3 linked regions of the Nothobranchius furzeri genome follow. The protein of the gene in region 1 purifies or fractionates together with the protein of each later gene. This does not show direct contact. Links are inferred from orthologs where the notes say so. Each region holds a gene or a part of one and is shown on either strand. Other genes may lie near its edges.

The links.
Region 2: the proteins of polr2eb (region 1) and crsp7 purify together in Homo sapiens (affinity purification with mass spectrometry; 3 studies listed by BioGRID and IntAct, with this or other methods). This does not show direct contact. The link is inferred for Nothobranchius furzeri from reciprocal best matches to the Homo sapiens genes POLR2E and MED26.
Region 3: the proteins of polr2eb (region 1) and ints6 purify together in Homo sapiens (affinity purification with mass spectrometry; 3 studies listed by BioGRID and IntAct, with this or other methods). This does not show direct contact. The link is inferred for Nothobranchius furzeri from reciprocal best matches to the Homo sapiens genes POLR2E and INTS6.

Annotation. Positions count from the first base shown.
Region 1 is NC_091748.1:48,494,505-48,498,256, reverse strand, and holds the start of polr2eb (DNA-directed RNA polymerases I, II, and III subunit RPABC1), read right to left. Parts: upstream 2,762-3,752; 5' UTR 2,359-2,761; coding exon 2,302-2,358; intron 1,941-2,301; coding exon 1,766-1,940; intron 1,582-1,765; coding exon 1,466-1,581; intron 1-1,465. UniProt on the Homo sapiens protein: DNA-dependent RNA polymerase catalyzes the transcription of DNA into RNA using the four ribonucleoside triphosphates as substrates.
Region 2 is NC_091751.1:71,980,786-71,984,537, reverse strand, and holds the start of crsp7 (mediator of RNA polymerase II transcription subunit 26), read right to left. Parts: upstream 2,250-3,752; 5' UTR 2,042-2,249; coding exon 1,970-2,041; exon of another isoform or gene 1,873-1,969; intron 1,127-1,872; coding exon 1,052-1,126; intron 966-1,051; coding exon 1-965. UniProt on the Homo sapiens protein: Component of the Mediator complex, a coactivator involved in the regulated transcription of nearly all RNA polymerase II-dependent genes.
Region 3 is NC_091754.1:31,110,627-31,114,278, reverse strand, and holds the end of ints6 (integrator complex subunit 6), read right to left. Parts: intron 3,440-3,652; coding exon 3,313-3,439; intron 3,227-3,312; coding exon 3,084-3,226; intron 3,006-3,083; coding exon 2,816-3,005; intron 2,736-2,815; coding exon 2,358-2,735; intron 2,238-2,357; coding exon 2,144-2,237; intron 636-2,143; coding exon 542-635; 3' UTR 328-541; downstream 1-327. UniProt on the Homo sapiens protein: Component of the integrator complex, a multiprotein complex that terminates RNA polymerase II (Pol II) transcription in the promoter-proximal region of genes.

The sequences.
Region 1 (3,752 bases):
CCACTGAAGCCTTAAAATAAGCTAGAGCGACTGCCCAAATCCTCAGTGCTTATCCTGCTTGACTTATCTGAATTTGACACAGTCAACCGTGGCTTCTTTTTGTCCATACTCTCTAGCATGGGCATCACAGGGAAAGCACACTCCTGGTTTGAATCTTACCTGACTCGGACAATCTTCTGCTGTTTACCATCTTGCCACAGGAGTCCCCCAGGGCTCTTTACTAGGACCTCTTCTCTTTGCCACATACACCACCACATTGGGTGAGATCATTCGATCGCATGGCCTCTCCTACCACTGCTATGCTGACGACACCCAGCTCTATCTGTCATTCTCGTCCGGACGACCTCACAGTCTCTGTACAAATCTTGGACTGTCTTTCTGATATATCAAGATGGATGAAATCTCACCATCCCCAACTCAACCTCTCAAAAACTGAATTACTTGACATCCCAGCAAACCCATCCATACGACACAATATCTCAATGCAAAACGAGCCCCTATCTCTGGCTCCTTCACACACAATTTGAAATTTGGGTGTTGTGATTTATGACCAGCTGACCTTTAACTCATTACCTTCCGGTCGTTTCCTGATCAGTAAAGCCCTTCGCTGCCAGAGGTTTTCAGCGTTTTCACAGTTTTTTGAAAAGTCACCGAACGTTGCACTCTATGATGATGTCAACGCCCAAACTACCAAAACAAAGAGTAGACTCACCTCTTACATCTGGAATAATCTGCGTGTTTAGAGTGTTATCCATTTTTTCATAATCCGTTGTCGAATTGTGATCGGCAGAAGCTTTTCTGGATCGTGCCTCACTTTTTTTTTTACAGCAGCAGCCCAAAACGATCTCCTAACACATGGATTTTTTGCTTCCTGATCATGTGACGTGTGATGTACATGGATAAAGATCAGCTTTAGAGCTGGGATGTTTGTTCTCACGGTACGGGAGCTCGTTCCGACACCCACACAGTAAAAAAAAAAATACAAATGATGACTTTAGTCATCAATGGCAGGAAATGAGTTAAAGATCAAGTTGCCTCTGTCACTCGTTCATGCCGCTTCATGCTGTATAACATATAAAAGATCAGACCATATCTAACAAAATATGCCACCCAGCTCCTGGTTCAATCTACAGTCATCTCCAACCTCAACTACTGCAATGCCCTTCTAACTGGTCTTCCTGCCTGTACTGCGAGATCTCTTTGACCTTGTCCATTTTCAAGAAACTCCTGAAGACCCAGCTCGTCAGAGAGCATCTTCTAAGCTAGCACCCTCCCTGCACCCGTCCCCCACTCTACTGTCCACTCCTTATTCACTTCCCTTTACGATTCATTATGCTGCCTCACTGCCACCTAGGATTGACTGATTAGTGTTTGTTGTAAGCCTCAAGGGCAACCTGCTGGCTTCATTATTACTTGTAGGTCTTTTGGACAAAAGCGTCTGCTAAATACATGAACATAAACATACCTGTTTTGCTGAAGGCGTCATGCCCATCTGAACAACGATGATGGCTCGAGTGATATTCTCCTCCTGCATTCTCTGACAGTACATTTTAATGGTCTTGATCCCCACCTTGGGTTCCTCTGGTGGGACAAAAATGGACAAAAAAAAGATGAATTCATAACAATTTTCTTCAAATCAAACACGCTTCTCTGTTCCAAATGTAATCACCCAGTTACTTCTAGAAAAGACTGATGCACTGAGCAAAAGTCACAAAAGTCACCTGGTCTCCATTTCTGTTCAATCTCCCAGTTAAAATAAACATACCGGGAAAGAAAACAAACATCTGGTCAGTGGGATCATCATTGTGTGCCACCAGCACCGTGAGATCTGTTCGTCTGGGACGACCTTCGCTCGGTTTGTCTCCAAACTGACTCTTGAACTCCTCCAGAGTCTGGTCCAACTCGTCCTGGGTCACAAGGTAACCTCGATCATGGCACAGCTGAAGGAGGAAAACATCAGAGAAGGTATCAGAAAACTCATTTAATAAACATTAAAATTAAATAATTCGTCTGTTATTTTGTCGAACTTAAACACACTTATTTAAATTTTACAGAAACAATTGTTGCAGTCAGGTTAGAGCCGCTAGTCTTGCTTCGTACTTTGGTAAACTGCTTAAAATACCAGTGGAACAAGTGTTGAACAAGCTAGTGTTTAGCCAGGCTGTCATAATGTTAAAATAAGGAGTACACAAGTCAAATTTAACGGAACTTCAGTGATAAAAAATACATTCATTCATGTTGAGCTAACGAGCTAAAAGAGGCTAACAAGCTAAATAAAGAAAACATTCAAACCTAACGAACCTGCATGATGGTTTTGCGGATCTTCCAAAGTCTATATGTTTCCTCTTCATCATCCATGTCCTGCTAAATAAGCTGTGTGCACTAGATTTGGTCAGAAAATGATTTTTTTTTTGTTATCAATATCGCTCTTTAAGCGAACGCACGTTTCCCGATTGACTGACACAGGCTGATGACGTCAGAAAAGCTGACCTGAAGGGGTTTGCTCCTTCTCTGCTTTGCCGGTGTTCATGTGCTTTTTTATCTGACTAAAGACCAGGAATGGGGTTTTTCGCTTGGTTCAGAGACCTTCTAAAGTTATTGCGCCTCTAGCATTTGTTAACGACAGTGCCATCTTACAACGAGGCTTTTCCAGCAAATTAACTTCAAAGACGTCATCATAAACCAGCAATCACCGCCGCTGTTCTGTTAGTTAAATAAAGATTTTCGCCACTAGAGGGCAGATTTGTGTCCCCTGTTGGATAATTTTAATTACATCATGTCCCCATTATTTATCAGTATGGAAAGCATGCTGGAGTCAGACCATTTGTTCGTTCTTACACAATCAGACTAGATGCATCATTGTGGATCAGTACACGGAAATGTGTCAAGACTGTGTGCGCCACGAATCGTATCCTAAATGAACAAGGTGTGAAAAGTGGGTGTTGCTGTATTTAGTCTGATTGTGTAAGACCGAACACCCCAGCAATCTTTCTGTGCAGATAAATAATGGGGGCATGATCTAATCCATGTCCCAGATAAAGTAAATAATTTATCCAACACCCTCCTCCTTCGATTTGAACGTTAAAGCCATCAAATGGTGAAACTCTGTACGACCTCTAATTGATTGTATTAGATAGAGGGTGTTTGTTTCAGTGCGAGTGACGTGCTGTACATGCTGCTTCGTGAGTAAACTCCCCCTCTCGCACAGCGCGCCGTGACATGCGCCAGAGACTTAATGGTGCAGACTCCATGATTTCCGACAACAATGCTCAATACAACAACAACGACAACAGTGATGATGATGATGATGATGATGATGATAATAATAATAATAATAATAATAATAATAATAATAATAATAATAATAATTTTACCCTTGGCCCACCTAGTAGCCTACAACGGGGCGGAGTCACGTGCAGCTACAACGAACAACCGAACAACGCATGGATTTTCGACAGAAGTGACCTTTTCTATAACTAAATGAGGCCGTTATATGTTGTTTTGGGCTTGGGGGCTGTGGCGAGCAGCGGGACACTACTGGCCGTGATTTTGTATTTTGTTTTATCCACGGCAGCGGTAAAGTAAACCTCCGTGATACTTGGCTTGTTTTATAATGAGATTTAGAAGTTGTGTAACTGAATATGGCTGCTGTGACATCTGTGGTGCCCTTGCGGGCACGATTGCAGACAGTATTTACACAGGCAACGCACTTCAGGTTGTGTAAATGTTGAAAGTCACGATAGGACACCAGC
Region 2 (3,752 bases), on another chromosome or scaffold:
TCATCAGACACACTTAAGCTTCTTTCAACCACCAACCTGTGGACCTCTGAGTTCTGCGGGGGAGGCGGGGGGGAGGGGGAATCCAGTGTTGCAGATAGATCTTGGGGAGAGCAATGAGAGAATACCTCTGATGAATTAGCAGAGGGCACTGAAGACCGAAGAGAAGAAAGTTTTTCACTGTGAGACACCGGTGCTGGGGAGGACAGAGGCTGGGAGAAGAACAGGGGGGAGTCTCTAGAAGATGGGCTGGGGACCGGCGTTCCCTTTGCTACGTACGCTGAACGCTTAGAAACGGGGTCTTGCTTTAGGCTCCTGGGACTGGAAGTGAGACTGCGGGGACTCCTCGCTGGGTAATAGCCCCCGCCCCCTTCTTCCAGTTTAGCTTGCTGTTGCATCACAGCAACTTTAATCAACGAGGAAGTGCTAGGTGCTTTGGCCATGCCAGGGGAGCTGGGACGGGGCTTGACAGCATTAACTGGAATTCTGTTTCCTTTGTCATTTTCAAGGTGGTCTGTCCGAGGCCTGTCAGGAGAAGGAACGACCTCCTGGTCGGCCAACGCATCGGCACCACCAGCAGTCCCGTTGGTGGGTGGCGGAGAAACAGAGTCATCAAACGCCGACAACCTGGAGATTTTTTCTGTTACGTACACGCCACTGTCTCTGTGCTCTGCCCGCCGCTTGCGGTTACTTGACTTCTCAGCCTTAGGCGAGTATGTGTTGTGAGCATCACTTCGGATTGTGACTTCTGTGACCGCTTTCCCCGATACAGAAATGTCAGGGGGAGAGGGATCGGTTTTGCAGGGATGGGAACTGCCATTGGTAGACCCCGGGACACTTGCTGAAACAGCCGGCCCAGGTTCAATCAGTTTTTGCCAGTTTCTCAGGAGTTTCTTTGCACGCCTTGCAAGGTCTTCATCCTTGGTTTTCCTCCTTACATCATTAATCAGTTTTCCAAGTCGAGTTTCCTGAAAATAAATAATTAAAAAGTGAAAACTATTTTGGCACCACAGCCTCTGTAGGCATTAACCGCCTATGACACGTTCATTCTTACCTCAAGTGCTTCTTTGGTAATCGGATACTTCTCAAGACAAGCGATCACTTCCAATACAACCACCATGTTGCATATCTGCAACAAGGACATGCCAGCAGTTAGTAACCCCCAGCTTCTACTGGTGGCAGTAATATTTAGATTTACAGCTGTAGTCTGTGGATGAAAATGTAATCACACTGGACAATCCCACCCAATCACATTCCCACAGTAACAGGAACTCCAGAGATCTGGACTAACTGCTCCCTGACTCCGGGGTGGAAAACAACATGTTCATCGGGAGAAACTCAGCTGGATGTTTAGCTCCAGAAACCGAACGATGTTGCAAAGCTGATGTGGCACAGAGACACTCAAAAATACCTGGAATCATCTCAGCAAAGGTTTATGAACTTGGAGCAAACCGAGCATCTTGTCGACAGCGTCAGCCCTAGCCCGAGTCGGTGGACCTGCCTGTGTTAGCTAGTCAGGGTAGTTAGCATTTAACTTACTTTAGAAGGAAGGAGCATTTCCTCAACGCTATTCCAGCCACTTGGTTCCCTAAACTTTGTGATTGTTTAAATAAAACATTTTCACTAAAACTGTGCTGTTTGGGATAACTTAAACTTTTCTTTAGATGAGATGATTTCGTAAAACAACGACTGGATTGCTCCTTTATACCAAATCTGCTTTGGTGTTAAGCTACGTTAGCAGCTAACAGGCTACATAACGGCAGATATCCGTCCAATCAACGCAGCGCTGCTGCTAAATTAGCTGGCATGCTAGCTGTCAACTCGCCCCGAGCCTTTTTGTCACCGAGACATCCGACGTGTCGAGGCCGAGCGCACCTTTCAGCGTAGTTTGTATAAACAGCGACGTGCCACCCGAACAGCTGCGTGGATGTTGATAGGCAAACAAGCTAGCGTTAGCTTTAGCATTGCTCACATTGCTCTGACTGTCAATGGCCTGCAGCAGCCGGTCCTTCATCTGCTGCGGGGTTGCTGAGACCGTTGTCATTGCCTGTTCGGTGCGATCCAGGAGATGGAGGGAGGAATCCTCCAAAACGAAAGCCGGGTGACTCAGAAGCCGCTTCGGGAACACGTCGGGCGCCCGAGCAGCATGCTTTCTGTCGCATGTAGGTCTGAGTTGATCTCACATGGAGTCGGAAATATGTGAGCGGAGCGGAGTCGCTGCTGCCTCGGACCTCCTCTCACTACCAACTGCTGGATGCCTCAACGGCCTCCTGCTGCATGCTGGGATACGATGTGTCTACGTCATCACGTTCGTACGTAACCAAGTAAACATCCCGACCACAGTGACGTTTTTAAATATAAACTTTGTGAGTTGTTTTTCAGTAAATATTTGATTGACCGATTTTATATGAAACGTTTAAATTAAATTAAATTCAAGTTTATTTATGCAGCAACTTGGTGGACTGAATGACGGACTGACAGTTATGAAAAACCTGTTTATTACAGATGATACATGTTTGTGATTATAAAAATAACAGATCTAAGACAGATGCTAAAGCACATTGTGATTTCCTACGGACCTGTGAAAAGGACAGCTTTTGAGAGCTTCTGGCTCATGCTGTCACACTGAAAGCTACGAGTGGCTAATCTTGCAAGGTGGTGCATCCTCAGCTTAAAGAACAGGGAGACAACAGATGTCAACAGTGTACGGGAGTGACACTCAGTTCCGTACGGTGTCTCACTGATGAGCTCCCCGAGCAAAAACACATCCTCTGACCCGATCCTCTTGTGCACGATGTAGATGACCTCCAGTGGTTTGATGGGCTGTGATCGTCTGCCCACTGATGCCTGGCGAATTGCCCACTCTGCTGCTCTGATGACCCTCACAGCACCTTCAGATGGGACCACAAGACCCCGTTGTTCTGCAGAGACAGCAAATGTAGCTCTGGTCATCACAGGCAGATGCAGCATCATCACCAGGCTGGCACGGCAGACATCACAGGACAGCTTGGTCATGGCTCGCCGCACAACAAATCCTGAAATTACAATTACTAATGTAACTGGACAGTGTGCTTGTCTTCATACTTTACATAAGCCTATAGAACAACACGGTGTCAGGTGAGAAATCAGACAAGAACTACAGTTTGTCTACCTAAAGTAATCATGATTAGTAAGTGTGGCATTAATTCCTTGTATTTATTAATCAGGGGGATTTGATGAGCCAGCAGTTTTTCTAAAGACTACAAACATCTTTTGTGTTTTTCTTCTGACCGCTTTTTTAGGTTCTTTTTGAAACACGGGGAAGGTTTTTTACCTGCTGACACTTTTGATTGTGTCTGCGATCTTCCTCAGAGCTGACCCCACTGAGCGTTTTTTTTACACTATCTGAATGAATAATAGTTCAAAAGCAAAGCAGATGACAGAGACTTATCAGCCTAACACAGTTGAATGTTTGTTATTGTTAAATCGTATGAATGACACGTTGCCGTGACTGAAGACATCGTCTATTAGAGCATCCATAAGAAGCACAAAAGTCAGGCATGCTTGTTGTGTTTCACGCGTATTTCGTGTCCCATTGATCATTTTTCCTTGACCACAAAAACAAATCATGACATTCCAATTAGATGACGTCAGCACATCTGTTGCACGTACGTTGATGAAGCCGTATGGAGTTGTGAGAGCAAGCATTGCTGGAATCCGAGTGTTCACTCGTATTTGTTCGTAGCGAAAGATTCATGGTAGTTTTGAGGGATTTT
Region 3 (3,652 bases), on another chromosome or scaffold:
TTAAGACTCAACGTGAGCGGAGGGAAAGGGTTATGGAGAGGAAAATGATCAACGGATCCTTTTCGACCCCGAGTTATCAGAAAACAAGCACACACCTCTCAGACTGAACTCTTATTCTCCCGAACACGTGGTCACAAAAACTAAAGTTTTCAGGCTGCAGCTGCCCTCTGGTCCTCTCCACGAGAGTTTCGTCCTCTCTCCGTTTAGGAGATACTCGTTTAAGTAAAAGAAAACTGTGACCACGTGAGTTAGCGAGGAGAGGCTCAGGCAGCAGCTGCAGTCAAACGTCCAACAGAACATCTGGTTGCATAGGCTTCACCCGCAGCAGTCACCACTTCCTGTTCATTCTCGCAGCCATCTGAACCATCCTCCAGGGTCAGATCTGCCTTTGGTGATGGGTCAGCCTGGACCAACGCGGCCACCTTAAATGTTGGCGGGCTGGCTGAAGTGGCCGTGGCTCCTGGGCTGGATTCTGTCTCCTCAAGGGAACTTCGTGTTTGGGCTTTACGGGGGACGGGGGCGGGTTTGGGCTCAGCCGGTCTCAGAGCGAGTCCACGTGGTTCATGTTATTAGATCTGTTGTGGATTTCCTCAAGGAAGTTCTCCAGCTGCTCAATCAGAACGCGTTTCTTGAACCTTTGAAGAGAGGAAAAACAAAAGTCCTCCTTCAGTCACGGGTGAATAAACTTTCATATATTCTGACTTTTCCACGACGCGTTGTTCAATCTGTTCCATGTTTGCAGCTAGATATCGTTTTATTTTTTGACGAGGCGATGGCCATAGACATTAAATACGTCATCCTCTGCGAGCTTGCCAGAGAGCCCGCGTGTTTCGTATCTCCATAACAACGCAGACAGAGAAGTATAATCTAGGCTTTAGCGTCTGACGCGCTCCAGCTCCGTAGGAGGGAGGGACAAACATGTAGGAGGAGTCCTTAAAGATGGAAAATGTGTGACGGTTTGCAGATTCACGAACCTCCATGACTGGAGTCATTAAACGCTGCTTCGACTAGCGGTTAGCTCTTCAGTCCTGCTCTGTGACTCCAATTATGAAAATCATTTATTTATTTTACATAAACTAAAGCATCATTTATCAGTGTCTATGACCACATTCTTGTTTTTACCTGACGACGGTGCATCGCTGATAGTTTTAGGCAGAATATTTAAATTTTAACTGCGATGCACTAAAGAGCAAAACCATTGACTACACGTGTGTGCAGCACAATCACACTCATTTATATAGTTTATCAGCAAAAAAAATGTTGATTTGGAGTAACTTGCTCTTTAAAGAGCAAGTTACTCCAAATCAACATTTTTTTCCAATAAACTATATAAATGCATGTCTAATCGTGCTGCACACACGTGTAGTCAATGGTTTTGCACTTTAGTGCATCGCAGTTAAAATTTAAATATTCTGCCTAAAACTATCAGCGATGCACCGTCGTCAGGTAAAAATTCTGCACTGCATTTGAATTTAAATCTGCCGTCGCTATTGGCTAAGAGGTGCACTATGATGTTAGATGGTACATCATGATGTCACAATGTCGTGTGTGTGTGTGTGTGTATTTGTTAGCGGCTCCACCCTCTCGGTCTGCTAGGCAACAGCATTTGTTGCATTTTTCAAACAGGAAGTGGGAGTGGAGTTAGACTCTGGTAGGGGTTGACTTGCTTTTTAAATAAAATATGCAGAGAAACAGAGCTGAAGCGGACTTCCGGCATTGCCATGGAAACACGTAAACACTGAATGCTAACTAAATAGCGCCAGCTACACGGTTATAATCAGGCAACTGGCGGTCTCTATTTTAGTTCTGATAACTTTGTGGTCCTCGTAGGCATGAATAAATATCTCTCAGTCTGGGAGAAGAACGAGGCTCAGCCTTTCCCTTTATCATTTATCTAGCATCGATTAACGGGGGCTGCCTCCGGAAGTGCGTGAGCCTCGCTTGCCGCGCCTCGCTTGAATTAGAGAGGACTGAATCCACCCGAGCATCGTTCGTGGAGCCGACAAAGTAAACAGGTGCGCCATGTCAAGCAGAGATTTATCAGGAAAGCCTCGATGTTCTGAACTCACCTTCTGTAACACCCCCCCCCCCAATCTTTTTGCTCGTAGCTCATAAAATCACAGCAAATAAGAATTCCGAGTACCTGGCCGCCTCTTTGATGATGTTTTGGAGGAAGATGAGCCGCGTGTCCAGAGTTCCCTGGATTTGCTTCAGGAGAAGAAATATCTTCTCGTAGTCTGAAACAAACCAAGCAGAAGGAACAAACATCAGCTTGTACAGGTCAGAGTTTCAGGATTATTTAATCTCCCAGGAAGTGACTCAAACATCAGATTAACAGAAGTCTCTGGTCTACACACGTCTGCCAGGTTTCCTGATCTCCTTGGTGATGAGTGTCCTCAGCTCGTTGTTGACTTTTGTCGTCTCGGTGTGAATGTGCTTCTTCAGGGCGGATGGTGAGAGGAAGCGGGGGGGCGGGTCCTCTATCAGAGCCCTTTCCACCCCTCCCTCGAGGCTGGGCAGCAGCTCGCCAGCACGCTGCTGCCCGCTCTCCTCCTCCTCCTCATCGTCGTCCATGTGCCGAAGGACCTGAGCCTCATCAGAAGTGTGGTTCTCCTGAAGGTCTGCTGGTCCTGTGTGGAGGTCCATCTCCAAGTCAGAGCTGCTGTCTGACCCATAGTGGTTCTGGTTTAGGTGGTTAATGATCAGGTCAGGAGAACCGTCATTTATGTCCGTTTCTATAAAGCAAGGGATTGGAGAGATGGTTTAATTTCTGTGGTCTACTTCTGGAAGTCGTCAGGGTAGATTCTGGTCCTACCTGATGAGTGCCGGGGACTGGCAGAGGGCGATACCGGAGGGGTGTAGGCCCGGCCCAGACGCAGCAGAGGGGACATGCAGCGACGTCTCTTTGGACCCCCACCCGGCATGTTGATGTTGTTGTCTCCAGGTCGCTTGCCTTTGTTCTGAGGACCGGTCACAAACTCGTCCGCCTCATCGATCATCATTCCCTGTGTGAAAAATCGGGTCAGCATCACCTTTCTGGATCCAAACATCCACTTTATTCCAGGCGAATAGGCAGGACGTACCTTCTTGTCCAGTTTAAAGGGGTTTCCGAACGTGTGCAAACGTTTGGGCTGCTCAGGATCTGCATCTCGAAGTGGCTGGGGGGCAGCTTTGAGGAAGTCTTGGTAGTTTCCCATCTGGGCGATTGGCACACTGTGGAGCTGGTCTGGACACGTGGCATCAACGATCGCTAGTGACTTTTTGTTTTTCAGAAAATAGCAAAAATAAGTGAGGTGCAGAGAGCCTTCTTACCAGAGTCCTGTCCTCTTAGAGTGCAGACGCTGGTGTTGAGCAGGTTTCTCCTCATTCGGCTAAGCTGGTCGAGGAGGTGGCTCCGAGGGATGTCGTAGGGATTCCTGAAGCTCTGCGGCTTCAAGCCCTGAGAGCAGAAGGTAAAACAGAGGATGTGAGAAGAAACTTCCACACAAGCTCACAAAAACATGCAAACATCTGAGATCCACCCTCCTCTCTGCAGATTTCAGGGACCCAACCCAGAGAACTTAAAGACCACCTTACAAACATCGGTGTGTTTATGCTTGACGCATTTACTTTCCGCTTGGTGATGCGGCTCGCGGATGGAACGCGCTTCACA